2 linked regions of the Arabidopsis thaliana genome follow. The protein of the gene in region 2 interacts with the protein of the main gene of each other region in a pairwise test. Each region holds a gene or a part of one and is shown on either strand. Other genes may lie near its edges. The genes, in order: AT4G08850 and LURE1.2.

Region 1 (10,431 bases), on a different chromosome or scaffold from region 2:
GAAGTGATTAATAATGTCATTGAGCTTGGAACGGATCCGTTTGGTAACTATCTTATCCAGAAGCTTATTGAAGTCTGCAATGAAGAACAAAGAACTCAGATTCTCATTAGGTTGACTTCAAAACCTGGACTTCTTGTCAAAATCTCCATCAACAATTATGGGTAAGCTTCATTATCCATTTTCACTTTTGTATATAAACTATATAATAGTAATTGTATAAAAGCATTTTGAATTTAAATGATCTGAAAAGTAAAAGCTTTTTGTCATAAGCACAAGAACTAAGGAGACATGAAATTTTGTTGCATATATGTGGAGGAAAGATGAGATCTTTCTTTCTTCGATAAAGATGAAACCTAAGCTATTTAAGGAAAGAAAGAAAAATGAGATCTTTGTGAAGAAAAAATTGTCAGATTTTTGTTGATGGAAAAAAAGATGAATTGTTTTTGCTGATTTAGACAAATCTTAGACCTTTGAAAAGAACATTTTAAATATTTTTCAGACCATTTGACTTGACTTGTTGATACATGTTTTTGGAAATCTTTGGTTTTGCTTATATTATGATAAAAGCTGAATCTTGTTGGTTTGATGTTTTCAAAATGAGTCCAGGACACGAGTGGTGCAGAAGTTGATTGAGACTGTGACTACAAAGGAGCAAATCAGTCTGGTTAAGTCAGCTCTTGTACCGGGATTTCTCTCTTTGTTTAGAGAATTAAATGGAAACCATGTGATACTAAATTGCTTGAAATTCTTTAGTCCTAATGATAACAAGGTTTATAACATAAAACTCTTCCTTAAATAGTTCAATCATGTTCTTGATAATGTTCTTTTAAAACTCTTGATGATATTTTTGCTTGTGACAGTTCATTTTGGAGGCTGCTACTAAGTTCTGCATAGAGATTGCGACTACTCGCCATGGATGTTGTGTGCTTCAACGCTGCGTTTCGTACTCGGTTGGGGAGCAACATGAGAAGCTTGTTGATGAAATATCCAGAAACTCTCTTCTCCTTGCTCAAGACCCTTTCGGGTAACAATACTTATATATATCAATATCGTTCTACAAGATTCAATACTGTTAGTATCTTATGTATAGTTAACTAGTGGGTCTAATGAACAAAACATGCCTTAAGTGATAGTATTATTTAAAATCATATAATGTCACTATGTTCCACATTGATAATATATAGTTTGTTACTAAAATACTTGTATGTGTATGTGAAAATGATGACAGGAACTATTTGGTGCAATACATAATAGAGAAGAAGGTTGGAGGAGTGAATGTACTGTTTGAGCTAAGAGGGAATTATGTGAAGTTAGCTACACAGAAGTTTGGTAGCCATGTGGTTGAGAAATGTCTCAGGTATTATCCAGAGAGCAGATCTCAGATTGTGAATGAACTCGTCTCTGTTCTAAACTTCGGATATCTTCTTCAAGACCCTTATGCTAATTACGTGATCCAGTGTGCTCTATCGAAAACCAAGGTTAGTTAGTTTAGTCATGTGATCGGTAACAGACTCGAAAACATAGTAACGGAACTGATTGGATTGAACAGGGCTTTGTTCGAGCGAGCTTGGTGGAGAAGGTTAGAAGATATGAAAATCTGAAGATGACTCCATATTGCAAGAGGATATTCTCCAAGAATCTCTGGAAGAAGTGAGTTTTAGATGATGTAACCCCTCACGCAAGGAATGTGTTGTTGTTTTGCTTAAACTAGGATTTGACTTACTCTTTTGATCCTTTACTAGAAGAAGAGCTCTTTTGTTGTCTCTCTCTATCTATGAACTTTACAAGAAGAAGAGAGCTCTTTTGTTGTCTCTGTCTTTTGTTTGGGTGTTTTCTTCTGTTGTTTTTTGTAGTCTTGAAATTGAAACTGTGTCCATAGATATAGACAGAGATTGATGGAGATGGTTTTTGTGGTTAGATATCGGCTCAGTGTTGCTGTTTTCAATGTTATCGGTTTATAGTAAATTGAAACCAAATAAAAACTATTTATGCTTTGGTTTGGTTGATAGACATTTCATTTGGCTAAAATAATAATAATTATAACACTAAAATAATAATTATTACGCGTAATCCTCATTTGCAGTAGTTGATGATTTTATGTTTTGTTTTTAGCACTATCTTGTAGGTCTGGACATAATATCCAAACCCGAAGAATCGACCGAATCCGACCCGAAAATTCTAATTAGAACTCGAACCCAAAATTTTTAAATACCCGAACAGGTTTAAATTTCCAAATCCAAAAAACCCGAAACCGAACAGATACTCAAACATATCTCAAATATAAGTATATATTAGTTATATTTATACTCATATATTTTAGTTATTTTTGTGTATTTTTAAATATATTCAAGCAAAATTACTTATGTTGTTTTGATAATTTTTGAAATTTTCAAGTAATTTAATAGGGTTGTACACAAAATTTTGATATTTTAATATAGAAATAAACCGAACCAAACCCTTTAATTACCAGATCATGTATTAAATTTCTAAACCCGAAAAACATGAATCTGAAATACTCGACCCAAACCCGACCCTAATACCCAAACGCCCAAAGCTATTATCTTGGATCATTATGGCTTAAACTTACTCGCTGACATTTTTGACAAAAAAATAAAAAGAAAAATACTCCTTTTCTTTAGAGCTTTTACGAGTTCTTCATAACAACAAAATTATTTGACTTTAGATAACAACTCTAAATTACAAGTTACTTTTTTTCTTTTTCTTTGTGCAAGTACAAACCTACTAAATTACAAGTTACTACAATCCAAAACTTGTTCATAAAACACACCACATCTTCTCCACCGCGATAACCGCCTGAATCTTGTCTCCTACGTTTCCTTTTATGTCAAAACAATGCCACAAAACGCAGAGCAAAATAATTCTTCTTTAGGCAAGCATGTGACGTCTGCGTGCTGATTCGTAGGAAACTGGGCTCTTCAATGGGCCTTATTTTCGGCCTCTTGTTTAAAACTTTCTAGATAAGCTCTTCCCTTGTGTTATAGCTGAAAGCTCTTCCCATGGTTTTTAACTTTAAGGGGTAGGTAATTTGGTTTATTTTCGGTTTCGGATTGGATTAGGTTTATTTGGTTGGTAATAAACTAGATGGATCCAAAATCAAAGGTAGTATTATTCGGTTTAGTTATGTTTGGTTTGGATTTGGTTCGAAAAACGAAACAAATTAAATACAATAGAGCATGAAACCAAACTTACCGTCATTTGAAGATTGATATGGAGACTACATGTAAATTTTCGAAATAAAAAAAATTATATATTAAGGGTTTTGTACAACAAAATTTTCTAACTCATCCACTTTTGCAATTTTATCATTCACCTCTAACAAACGCAGATTATATTTATGAAGTCCAAAATAATAAGAAATATGATTCTTATATGTATATTGTTAACGTTTTTATGGTCACATACATTAGAGTTGTAAGATTTTGAATGTATAATTAAACTCTTGGTCAAAAGGACTTCAATTTAACATATTATATATCAATATTTTACAAAACTGATGATAGCAAAAACAGGCAAAAAATATTACCTTGCGTATTATTTTAGATTTCATAGGATTAATCTGTATTTGTTGGAAGTGGAAGGTAAAGTTGTAAAAATGGATGAATTAAGGATTTTTTTTGCAGAAAACTCTAATATTAAATACTAGGTAGATTGAATCATTGTTTCCGGTCCAGTTATAAACCGAACAAAACCATTCGGGTCAAATTAAAGTGTAACCAAAAGATTTGTGCATCGAATATGGTTCGACTTGGATTTGTTTGAGTTCGGATAGTTCAATATGGTTAAAATACACACCCTATGTTAAGAAACTCAAATAAAACTCACTATTTTGAAATAAATGCAAGAACGCGACATACTTTTGTATCTATTAAAGAGAAAAATTAAAGAAAGATGCAAACATTCTATATATATACAAAAGATGCAAACTAGTATGTATTTCGTCTCTTAAGTAACTTTTAGAAATAAAACAACTATATAATACTAAATACTAGGTAGATCGGATCATTGGTTCCGGTCCAGTTATAAACCGAACGAAACTGTTCGGGTCTAATTAAAGCATAACCAAGAGATTTGTGTATGGATTATGGTTTGGCTTGGATTAGTTTGAGTTTGGACTTCGGATGGTTCGATAGGGTTAAATTTTTTTAATACACACCCCTATGTTAACAAACTCAAATATAAAACTCATTATTTTGAAATTAAGAATTTCTATGATTTCTCAAATTTCAGTTTCTACTCAAATTCAAATTTTATCGCACTTGTTGTAAAAACGATATTTTTTCTTTGAATATAATTTAACATTAGATTTAAAAAAAAAAAAGAAAAAATCACAAGCAAAAACATTGACATATTTTTTGTATCTATTAGTGAGAAAAATTAAAGAAAGAAACATTATATATACAAAAGATGCAAACTATTATATAATTCATCACAAAAACTAAAATTCCATGAAACAAAAATATTAACCCATAATCAAAGAAACAAACACTACAACGTGTAAAGTTTCTGCTTGGTAGAGACTAGAGAGAGTCAGAGAAGAGACAAGTTCTTAAGAAAAGGCAGTGGAGATAGAGAGCATTGTTGGGCGAGCTTGTGGATCAGAATGTAAACACAAAAGTGCAACTTTCAAAATCTCTAAGACCTCCTCTTTAATCTCCGGTGTCGGTTCCGGTAGCCGGTGGTCGGAAATGCTTTTCAGTGACAGAGTTGCATCGGGAGGTGAGGATGAAAGAGTTGAAACTAGATCTCCTGGATGCTCTCCTTTGATCACTTCAAGTGTTAGAACTCCAAAGCTATACACATCGCATTTCTCAGTCACTTTCATCGCATAAGCTAGTTCTGTCACATCCAAATTTCACAAACATGTTAGTCACTATCATTATTTTTATTTATGATATATACTAAATAATAAATCAGATTTATAAGACTTATAGGAATTGCATTTTAAACTAACTCAAACTATACCAAAATGAATCAAATAGAAATGCTTAGTACTTGAAATTTGGCAAAAAAATAAAACGAAGTAAAATCGATTTTCTAACCAAAATTCATGAATAATTTATGTTTCAAAATCAATATATTAAATATAAATATAATATCATTACATAATCTAATAATAATTTTCACTAATTCTTTTTTTTTTTTTTTTTTTTTTGTAAATTTTACATTTATTTAAAAGCTGAACCAAATCCAAACTTAAAACATTATTTTTTTCTTTCTAGAAATTAGACTAGGAATTTCATTACCTACAAAAATTTTGGTTTTTATTTGGTTATAATATAATGAATTCTAGTTGTTTACTTAATTTGCAACAAAATTTTGGTTAAAAACTGAACCAAATCCAACCCATAGTCAAAAAAAACTTCAAACCGAAACAAAACATTTTGGTTTTTATTTGGTTAAAATTTAACCCGAATAAACCAAATCTAACCATAATTTCAACCCGACCCGACCATAACCGGGTCAAATCCACAACCAATTTATCCAACGGGTCAAAAAGCGTACCTGGAGCAACATAGCCGTAAGTACCAGCAACGGCGGACCAATTTGAAGAATCCGGTTTAAGAAGCTTCGCAGTACCAAAATCAGAGATCTTCGCTTCATAATCCTCGCCGAGAAGAATATTCCCACTACTAATATCACGGTGAACAATCGCCGGAGACCGATCATGATGCATATAAGACAAAGCATGAGCCACACCTTTCACAACGTTGATCCTCTTTCCCCAATCTAACTTCTTCGCTTCATCATCATTCTCCAAAACTTTCCTCAAGCTTCCTCTCTCCATGTACTCGTAAACCAGAAACGTGTTGCGGCGATGCGAGCAGAATCCGAAGAGTTTCACGACGTTCCGGTGACGGATCTCGGTTAGTGCTCTGATTTCGTTGAGAAACTCTTGTTTTGTTGATGGATTTGAGATTGATGAGTCTGTTGTTTCGTTTAGCTTTTTCACCGCCATGATTGCGTTTGGTAGCTTTGCTTTGTAGACTTTGCCGTGTCCTCCGGTTCCGATTAGGTATTTTGGATCGAATTCTCCTGTTGCTTTGATGATCTCTTGGTATCGGACTTTGCCGTCGAAGCTGAAGATTGATAATGTTTCTCCTCCTGATTCTGAATCTGTATGCTCCTCGATTTGTTTTGTTCGTTTACGGAAACAGATGAAGATTCCGGCGCAGACGGAGAGGATTATGATTGCTCCGATGATCGGAACTAGTATGTAGATGATTAGGTTTCGATCCTTGTGTGATTTCTTTGAGGATGTGATTGAACATGGCTTCAAGCCTTGTGTGGTGTTAACACTACCACATAAGTCTTTGTTACCTTCAAAAGCATCTGGAGGTGCGTTTCGAAACGCTGCGTTATCTGGAATTGGACCTTGGAGGTTGTTGTGTGATACATCGACGTGTGTTAGTGCTAGCATATCTTTGAAACTTGGTGGGATTTGACCTGAGAGATTGTTGTGTGAGAGGTCGAGTCTTTCGAGGTTTTGTAAAGATCTGAATTGTGATGAGATCTCTCCGTCGAGCTGATTGTAGCTGAGATCAAGCATTTGTAACTGAGATAGCTTTGTTAACCCCTCCGGGATGGTTTGATCCAAGTCGTTTCTGCTCAGGTTCATGTAGTAGAGCCTTGGCAAATTGTTGAGCGTTGGGGGTATTTCGGAACTGAATCGGTTTGAGGATAGATCAAGATACTCAAGATTGGTTAAGAGTCTGATTCCTGAAGGGATTTTGCCTGATAGCCGATTCCCGTTGAGTTGGAGTTTTGATATACGGTTGATATTGCTGATTGATTCAGGTAGCTCGCCGGTGATGCGGTTGGAAGATAGATCGAGCTGACTTAGCTGTGTCATGTTCCAAATCTCAGGTGGGATGGCTCCAGTGATGCTGTTGTTTGAGAGGATGAATGCAACCAGCTTTTGACTTTGTTCCCAGTTGGCTGAAAGTTGTCCATGAAAGTTGTTGTTGCTGAGATCGATGAAGTTGAGAGTCGGGTAAACTCCGAAAGCCTCAGAGATATCTCCGGAGAAACTATTCCCTTTGAATCTTACTCTGATCAAGCTCTTGCAATCTCTCAAGCTTTTAGGAACAGGACCTTCGAAGTGATTATCATCTAGCGTAAGATTCTCAAGCTTTCCACCTCTACAGATGGTATCAGGCAAGAAACCGGTGAAGTTGTTGGTGTCGAGCTGCAGGACGGTGAGCTCTGTAGAGTTAGCAATTCCCGGTGGGATGGGACCAGAGAGCTGATTATCACGTAGGAACAACCATTCCAACGCGGTTAACTTGCCAAAAGAATCGGGAACAGGACCGGTGAGTTTGTTCTCACTTATCTCCAAATCAATCATTGATTCCATTTCGCCTAGTTCCGGTGGAATCGAACCATTGAGTTGATTCAGGTAAAGATGAAGAACGGCTAGGGTTTTGATGTTTCCTAAGGTAGAAGGTATTGGACCGGTAAGCTTATTTGTGTGGAGACTAAGTGTATCTAAAGCGGTCATATTACCAATCTCAGGAGGGATTTCACCAGAGAGCTGATTTTCAAACATATTGAGAAGAGTTACATTCTTCAAATTCCCGAAACTAGAAGGGATTTTACCGGTAAGGTTGTTCCTATCTAGACATAGCTCTCTAAGGTTGGGTAAGTTTCCTATTTCAGAAGGAATTGAACCAGAAAGAGAATTGATAAAGAGGTAGAGGTTAACTAGTTTGGTAAGGTTTCCAAAAGAAGAAGGTATTGGTCCGGTTAAAAGATTGTCGTATATAGCTATCTCCGTAACCTTAGTTAACCGACCGATCTCAGAAGGAATCGATCCGTTTAACTTGTTTTCAACTAGATGGAGAGTATCTAAATTACTCAAATCACCAAGTTCAGGTGGGATTTCACCAACTAACTGGTTAATCGACAAATCGAAGTATTCGAGTTTCGAGAACCGTCCCCATAAAGGAGAGATGGTTCCAGAGAAACGGTTCATACTGAGATCAACAAAAGTGAGATTGGGGAGAGACGAGAATGGAAAATCTTCGAAAGTACCTTCGATACCGGTATTAGTAAGATTCAACCGTATAATGCTCCCGAGTGAGCAGGCAACACCATACCAACTGGTACAAAAGCTGCTTGTGTTTGGATTGACCCAAGAAGATAGCTTTGATGAACTTGTCTGGTTTGTGAAAGTTGACTTCCATTTCAAAAGAGCATTAGCTTCTTCCACCGTTGCAGAAACAGCAAAAGAACAACTCAAAACTATAGATATGATCAAAAGAACTTGAAGATCACGAGGCTTTTCTTTACAAGCCATTCTCTCTTTGAATGAGGTTAGTGATATTTTTCTTTCTGGGTTTGTTTTGTTCATACAGTTGCAGATTATCTCTCTACGGTCTTTTATAAACTGAAAATTGATTTCGTTGACTAGTCCGTGATAGTTGACTATGGGTTGTCACTTGTTAATAGAGGACAAATAAGTCAATATCTTGAATTCTCTCTTTAATTATTAGCCGTTTACTTTGTCAAACAAAATCTTCGGAAATTATCACTTCACACACACATTCACATTAATATAAAAATAGTTTACTGACTTGTTTAAGTTGTTGTTTTCTACTTTTGTATAAAGATAATGTATGAGTTCTTTGAATGTTATATTATAATGTATTTAAAAAAAAACACTTATATAAAAGTTATTGACGGCAGGATTGGTGGATTTATATGGACTGACAACGATGGTCAATTTTTCATTAGCAAATAAAATATGGGTTAGTCATGTTCATTTGGACGATAAGATTAATTAGTTTTTTCAACAATGGGAAAATGCATTGATGTTACTTTTAGTATAGTAATATAATACAAATCTTTCTTAAAAATATCTCTTAACTTTATTGTGTGATTTTTTAACAACTTGTACCATAAAATAAGAAACTATTTTTCTTATAAGAATGTAAATATCATTTCAAAAAATGAAAGATATAGAAATTACAAAGTAAATTCTAAAAATATGGTCCCATACCGTCCCATACCAAAAAAGCTAAAGAATTATGAAAGTATATACATTCGAAAATCAAATCATCACTAAATTCTTAAGTAGTAAAGGTTACTTAAGAATCAACTCGATAAAAAAGACTCACCTAAGCAGAACATGGCTAGAAACAAGAGCAGTAAGGGAAAAAAAGATCTTCAGACTGACTAGAATGCTTAGCGGAAGTCCCTTTAACGTAAGTTCAAACCTAAAAAATACGAAACTTAAATAAAACACGGACGCCTCAAGAGTCAAGATCACCATATGTAGATTTAACATCTCGAATTATTATTATTATTCTTTTTTTTTATTTTTTAATCTCGAATTTCCTTATCACTGTAAATAACAAAAGAGGTTTAGTTTTATTTTTGTCAAATATACTTTGGTAAAAATAATAGAAATTCAACTTTTAGGGAAGAGATCTACGACAAAAAGGATTGACTTTTGAAGTCTTGCACAAGGTATGGTCATGTACAATCAACTGGTCCCCTCAATGTAATCTCATGGACCTTCTTATTGTATTGTATGTTTTTTTTTTCTTTGTATTGAATTGTTAATATATTATTTCTTAGTTCAAGTATGTAAATCCTAAATAGTTATTAAGATAGCATTCGTTATAATTTTCTTTGGAAAATAATGTGTGAAACCAAGTCATTTTCGTATAGAAGAAGCCAGACAAAATTAGAAAAGAAATTCAAAGACAACTAGAAACTTGACAAAAAATAGAAGAATTGATTGATTGAGGTATAGACTTAGTGCGAAGACTGAATAACAAAGGTTAGCTTGCATGACTAGTAGGTAATAAGATTTACGTGACTCTATTGGCCGAGAAAGAAAAGCTCCACCATTGTTTACACGAACACTTAATTTTTCAAACGTAAATTGTAATCATCTCGACCATCATCAAAATCCTAACTATTCAATCATTTAAAACGCATATAAAACCAAAAATTTATAATCCATAACGAAATCATTCTCATAAAAAGTTAACAATAACCCAATTCGTTGAAAATCCGAATTGTGTATTATCTGATACTTATTTTTACATCATAAAAAGTTATAATTTTAAGAACATCTTATGGTTTATTTTTTAATTAACTCTTCTTAATATCATATTCTTCTTATTCTATGACATATCACGTATGTCATCTCTTCTTTAGTTTTCGTTTTTATTATTCAATATAATTCTGTTAAAATAAGATTATTATATATAAAAAAAAGGAAGAAGAGGAAAACAGTCCTTTGAGCTTTTGTAACGCGTTTTCTCTTGTTTTTAAGGAACAATTAAGGGCTTGATTGGTTTTCCCTCTGCCATCCGCAAACGCTGCATTTGCGGGTGGTAGCGGTTGTTAGCGATTGGCACCAATCATACAAACTGCTAGATACCGCTTTGGACCGTTCGA
Region 2 (6,604 bases):
GCCAGCTGTGCCTCACAAGACAAATCTCACCTCCCTTAACGTAAACAAAAGACAAGATCAAGCCATTTTGCTGTCAATGCTCACCTATGATTTTAGTCTTGAAAATCTTTTGTTTGGTTATGTCAGGTTCCACCAATGGGTCTGTTTTATCCTAACCTTTTGGTCCCTGAAATATTTCCCCAGCCACCACGTCAATGGTCAGAGTTAAACCTTCTTATATTCTTCTCTTTGGTTTAGTTGTCGACCGAGAGATACTCATTTGAAACCTATTGTTTAGGTTTCAAGACTACGAGAATATGTTGGAAGACACTTGGAACATGGACTTTGGAGGTGGTGGTAACATGGGATTACCAATGTGGGATAGTTTTGCATTTTCGCCTTCAAAACCAAAGAAAGAAGAGAAGATTGGTCTCGCTGAAGCCATTACAAGCAGCATTCTCTCTGCTGGTATATGTTGTGATGCACCCTCCTGCATTATATAAAAATCAACACCTAACAAAAACGTTATCCTTTTCTTCTTCCTTTGCTTGTAGGACGCATAGACCTTAGACGGAAGCTTTTCTCCAGCATTCAATTGGTAGATCCTGAAAACCTTTTTTTTTACACACTCAAGTTTTCGCCATGTACTTCCTTAAAATCATGTGCTACCATGTAACTCTTCATACATGAATGTGTTACCTTGGAACTCTCTCTCTCTTTTGGCTTCTCAGATTGGTGGTGCTGGTTTGACGAAAGGTCTTGTAGCGGCAGTGGAAGAAAGGTTTGCTCGTTTCCTTTACCAAACATTTCGTTTTCTAACATCCAGAAGGCACATCCAACTAAACAGAGTATTTTGTTCAACTAATGTTTATGTCCCTCTCTCCTTTGCGTTTCAGAGTTCTTCACGCGATACCTCCAACTGAAGCCATTGATACAGTGCAGGTTCTGCCATCAAGAACGGAGCCACAATTCGTAACTTGGAAAGGAGGAGCGGTACGTTTGCATTTGTTTGCATCTTTTATTTTCTTACCACTCTTGATTTTGTGTATTTATGTACTGAAATTTGAGACAGATATTGGGAATTCTGGACTTTGGGAGGGAGGCTTGGATTGAGAGACATCAATGGATGGTAAATGGGGTTAATAAAGGTGGTCTAAAGAAGTACAAAGACTCTTATCACCTTCAAGGTCAAGCAATGTACTTCATCAACCCCTAGTTTCTGTCTATATCTTAAGCTTTCTCTGTTTCTTATCAGAATACTTTTACTTGTCATAACTCAAAACCAAAAACAAAAATTCTCAGAGTAAATGTTATTTTGCTAAGATATTCTCAGAGTTTGGATTGATTCGAGGCATATAAGAATTTAACTGATTTGGTCATCTTTAAGATCATAACTATTAATAAGGAATCCAAAAGTTATTTAAGGTTTTGTTAGAAAAGCAAGATAGGCATCATGAGTTAGTATATATATATATATATATATATATAATATAGAACTTTTTGATTTTTTTTAATCAAACTATATTATATATATATATGTCTTAGTTCCTAATAAAATGTAAACTTCAATAGAATTTTTGAAATATAAAGTTTTAAACCTGTAATTGTTTGCACTTATTAGATGTATATTACTATTTATACCAATATATAACAGATTTTAATAACTAAACAATTATAATTTTTTAACAAAAACAAACGTAATAGGTTACTGAAATTTACTTTATAACAAAATAAAACGTTTAAATGAAAATTAACTCTTTATATAACATATTTATCTACAGAGCCTATAAATATGACTAAATATTGCTTTAATACTCCAGAGCAAAACAAAAGAAAAACGATTCACAATAATATTTAATATATTTTCTTTGTGATATTGGTTAATTTCTACCAAGAAATGAAGTTGCCTATTATATTCTTAACTCTATTAATTTTTGTTTCTTCATGTAAGTCTAAATTATTTAATTAGGATAATGTGTCAGTATTATAATCATTATAAAAACTGTTTAAGAATTTGATATATCTTTTAAAAATTTGATAGGTACATCAACACTTATAAATGGATCTAGTGATGAAGAGAGAACATATTCTTTCAGTCCAACAACAAGTCCTTTTGATCCACGCTCACTGAACCAAGAACTTAAAATTGGGAGAATTGGTTACTGTTTTGATTGCGCAAGAGCTTGTATGAGACGGGGTAAGTATATTCGTACATGTAGTTTTGAAAGAAAACTTTGTCGTTGCAGTATTAGTGATATTAAATAAGGCATTGTAACTTTGTTAAACATTAATAAAAAAACAAATTATATTACTGTTTAATGTTCATCCATGCTCTTCTTTTTACAATAATGAAAATGTATAATAATCTAAAAGTTTTGTAGTGTGCACTTAACATGAAATTTATTGGAGTTAATAAAGGCTGTCTAAAGAAGTACAAAGACTCTTATCACCTTCAAGGTCAAGCAATGTACTTCATCAACCCCTAGTTTCTGTCTATATCTTAAGCTTTCTCTGTTTCTTATCACAATAACTTTTACTTGTCATAACTCAAAACCAAAAACAAAAGTTCTCAGAGTAAATGTTATTTTGCTAAGATATTGTATGTTTTGTCATGTATTTGATTGAACCCTTTCTCTCTACACAACAAAACCAATTTCTAAGGGAGTTTTATTTTAGATTTATGATGGTTTAAAGAGAGAAAAAAAAAAAAAAAGTAGTTACAGTTTTTTGTCCCACATCGGCAATACGAGAGGGAAGGAGAGCAGAGAAGGGCTTATATAAAGAAGATGGGCCTCACCGTTAGAAATTAAAAAGGGTCGGATGGCTATTTATGCCACGCTCAGCCTAAGATAAGGGGTGAGTGCTGTATGGCAAAATCAAGACATATGGCCGACATTATTTCTGGAACAACCCATGGGTTGGCTCGCTCGGCCGACCCTCCAAATTACAATTAAAAATAATTAAAATTTGTTTATCATACGTTCGGCGTAATTGTTTACTATAATTAGATAAAGAATCCATTTTAATTCCCTCAACTAAAGTATTATTGACAAATACTTTATTCTATATACATTTAAAACTCCAAATGACTATCGTTAAATCTATATCATTTTGATTTGTTAAAATGCAATTTTTTTTTGTTTTAAGGACAACATTAGAAACATGATGTAATCGATTGGGAATATAAAACAGTTTGTCAATATAACTATGACTACCATTAATAATTTAAACCTAACACCTTGCTCACATACAATACTCCATGCATATTGCATAGGTCGAATCAAATTAAACCAAAAATCTATATATTTTGTGATATTAATTCTGACCGATCATTAAAATTTACTGTATACTGTATTTAGTAGTTGTCGTCAACTTGTTTACAAAATGTTTAAGTGATCAATAATTAAAAAACAAATTGAAATCAAAATAATTTTACCATTCACAATTTAAACTTAAACGCTTTGCTCACATATCATATTGCATTGCTCACACGCTTTCATCACATTACCATTCGACAGGAAAGAGTAAAAGTGTTAAATCACCACCACCCGATTGAGGAACAAAATTCTACATATTATGAAATGTTTTTTTTTTAACTTTTATAATAATGAAAAAACTTAATACCAAATCTTCTTAATAATCAGGTTACAACTTTAAATACTTTTGTTTCTAAAACTTTTTAAAAATAATTTGTTTCTATAGATAAAAAAATGAAAGGTGTTTGTTCAAAACAAATATGAAATAAGGTGATTTAAAGAATTTTCTTATTAATAAATAATTTAAGCAATTTATAACTAAAAGATATATACATATGTAGAAAGAGTTTGGATTGATTCGAGGCATATAAGAATTAAACTGATTTGGTCATCTTTAAGATCATAAATATTAATAAGGAATCCAAAAGTAATTTAAGATTTTGTTAGAAAAGCAAGATAGGCATCATCAGTTAGTATGTATATAAGATTTTGTTAATCAAATTATAGTATATATTATGTATTAGTTCCTCAAATTAAATATTTTAAATAAAATGTGGGCATCAATAGTAATTTTTAAATTTAAAGTTTTAAACCGGTAATTGTATGCACTTATTAGACGTAGGAAGATTTGCAAAAGTACCATTTTTCTACTACATCATGCAACAATACCTTTTTCAACAATCTTTTGCAATAATACCATTTTCTGTTGTCCATTTTTAAAAATACTCATTCTCTTGAACAAAATAACCAAATTACCCTCATTTAATGAGAACACATAATTAGAAACAGAAATTTTGGCGCCAAAGTTTTTTTCCCCCCAAAATGGTTTTCCCTCCAAAAAAAGTTTCCCACCAAAAAGAATTTCCCGTAACAAAATTTTTCCCAACTAAAAACTTCATTTAAAAACCCTTGTAAATCATTTTAAAACCTCTTAAAATCTTTATACAATCTTTAAATACATATAAAAATACTTTAAAAACCTTTGTAAATCATTTTATAACCTTTTACAATGGTTTTAAAAGATTTACAAGAGTTTTTAAGAAGTTTTAAAAGGATTTTAAATCCTTTTAAAATCTTATTAAAACTCTTATAAAGTCTTTAAATCATTTTTAACTTTTTAATAAAATTTGTAAATATTTTTAAAAATTTGTAAATATTTTAAAACATTTGTAACTCTTTTTTACCATTTTAAAAGTCTTGTGAACCCTTACAAAAGGTTTTAAAAAATTTACAAGTGTTTTTAAAGGGTTTTAAAACCTTGTAAACCATTTATAAATCTTAAAAAAAAACTTGTAAACCCTTTAATAAACTTTTAACCATTTTAAAAGTCTTGTGAACCCCTTACAAAAGGTTTTAAAAAAATTTACAAGAGTTTTTAAAAGATTTTAAACTTGTAAATCTTTTAAAAATCCTTGTAAATCCTTTAAAATCTTTGTAAACCCTTTCATAATTTTTGAACCATTTTAAAAGTCTTGTGAACCCCTTACAAAAGGTTTTAAAAATTTTTACAAGAGTTTTTAAAAGATTTTAAACTTGTAAATCTTTTAAAAATCCTTGTAAATCTTTTACAATCTTTGTAAACCCTTTAATAATTTTTGAACCATTTTAAAACTCTTGTGAACCCCTTAAAAAAAGTTTTAAAACGATTTACAAGAGGTTTTAAAGGGTTTTAAAACTCTTGTAAATTCCTTAAAAAAAATTTTAAAACCCTCGTAATTTTTTAAAAAATCTTTTAAAACCTTACCCGCTAAATTTGTTTTTTGTGGGAAAATTTTTTTTGGAATAAAAAATTTGGCGGAATATTTTTTCGATATTACTTTGGCGGGAAAATGTATTTCAAAACTTTTTGTGGCGAAAAAATTATTTTAGGAATATTTTAAGTGGAAAAATCAATATTTTATTTTGTTAACCTAAAATATTTTCCAAATAGAGGTAAAATGGTCACCAAAAATAAAAAAAAGGTAAAAATGAAAATGACAAACAAGAAAGGGTATACTTGAAAATGGGTAATGTTGAAACCGCATTCTTAGCAATTATTCTTAGATGTATATTAATATTTATACCAATATAAAACATATTTTAATAACTAAATTATTAAAATTTAAAATTGAAAACAAACGTAATAAGTTACTGAACTTTCCTTTATAACAAAATAAAACGTTTTAATGAAAATTAACTCTTTTATAACATATTTATCTAGAGAGCCTATAAATATGACTAAATATTGCTTTAATACTCCAGAGCAAAACAGAAGAAAAACAAAATTCAAAACGATTCACAAAAACATTTCATATATTTTTTTAGTGATATTGGTTAATTTCTACAAAGAAATGAAGTTGCCTTTTATATTCTTAATTACTCTATTAATTTTTGTTTCTTCATGTAAGTCTAAATTATTTAATTAGGATAATGTGTCAGTACTATAATCATTACAAAACCAGTTTAAGAATTTGATATATCTTTTGAAAATTTGATAGGTACATCAATACTTATAAATGAATCTAGTGATGAAGAGAGAACATATTCTTTCAGTCCAACAACAAGTCCTTTTGATCCACGCTCACTTAACCAAGAACTTAAAATTGGGAGAATTGGTTACTGTTTTGATTGCGCAAGAGCTTGTATGAGACGGGGTAAGTATATTCGTACATGTAGTTTTGAAAGAAAACTTTGTCGTTGCAGTATTAGTGGTATTAAATAAGGCATTGTAACTTTGTTAAACATTAATAAAAAAACAAATTCTGTTACTGTTTAATGTTCATCCATGCCCTTCTTTTTATAATAATGAACATGTATAATAATCTAACAGTTTTGTAGTGTGCACTAAACATGAAATCTATTGGGAAACATAAGTCCATGACAACTAAATAAATATTTGAAAAAAAACATATTCAACATAACCAAGAAAACTGTTAGTTTTTTCTAAACATTTTACATTTAAACAAATTTCTTTAGCTCATTTTTACTATAAATCTATTTTATTATATAAAATATGGTTTTCAAAGTTTTGAAAGGGTCAAAGATTTTAATCACCCCCACATCTCAACATAGATAAGGTTCCAATATGTTTAATTATTTTGCATATTTACCTAAAACCTTCTGAGTTATGATAGACAAAATTAAAGAAAACAAATCTTCAAATCAGCTTA

What was found.
Region 1: the proteins of LURE1.2 (region 2) and AT4G08850 interact in binary tests that used the Arabidopsis thaliana proteins (3 or more experiments, as listed by UniProt).

What each region holds. Positions count from the first base shown.
Region 1 is NC_003075.7:5,632,126-5,642,556, forward strand, and holds AT4G08850 (Leucine-rich repeat receptor-like protein kinase family protein), read right to left. Parts: upstream 8,828-10,431; 5' UTR 8,372-8,827; coding exon 5,524-8,371; coding exon of another isoform or gene 5,342-5,523; exon of another isoform or gene 5,170-5,341; intron 4,858-5,169; coding exon 4,568-4,857; 3' UTR 4,354-4,567; downstream 1-4,353. Other genes in the region: PUM11 (pumilio 11), read left to right, coding at 1-161, 607-769, 861-1,024, 1,229-1,478, 1,550-1,654. UniProt on the Arabidopsis thaliana protein: Acts as a receptor of SCOOP peptides from Brassicaceae plants regulating multiple processing including plant growth, development and stress responses.
Region 2 is NC_003076.8:17,472,235-17,478,838, forward strand, and holds LURE1.2 (Putative membrane lipoprotein), read left to right. Parts: upstream 1-1,814; 5' UTR 1,815-1,876; coding exon 1,877-1,925; intron 1,926-2,020; coding exon 2,021-2,244; 3' UTR 2,245-2,251; downstream 2,252-6,604. Other genes in the region: ARP9 (actin-related protein 9), read left to right, coding at 1-40, 127-197, 278-447, 534-577, 711-760, 876-972, 1,052-1,195; LURE1.3 (Putative membrane lipoprotein), read left to right, coding at 5,786-5,837, 5,933-6,156. UniProt on the Arabidopsis thaliana protein: Pollen tube attractants guiding pollen tubes to the ovular micropyle. Attracts specifically pollen tubes from A.thaliana, but not those from A.lyrata. Triggers endocytosis of MDIS1 in the pollen tube tip.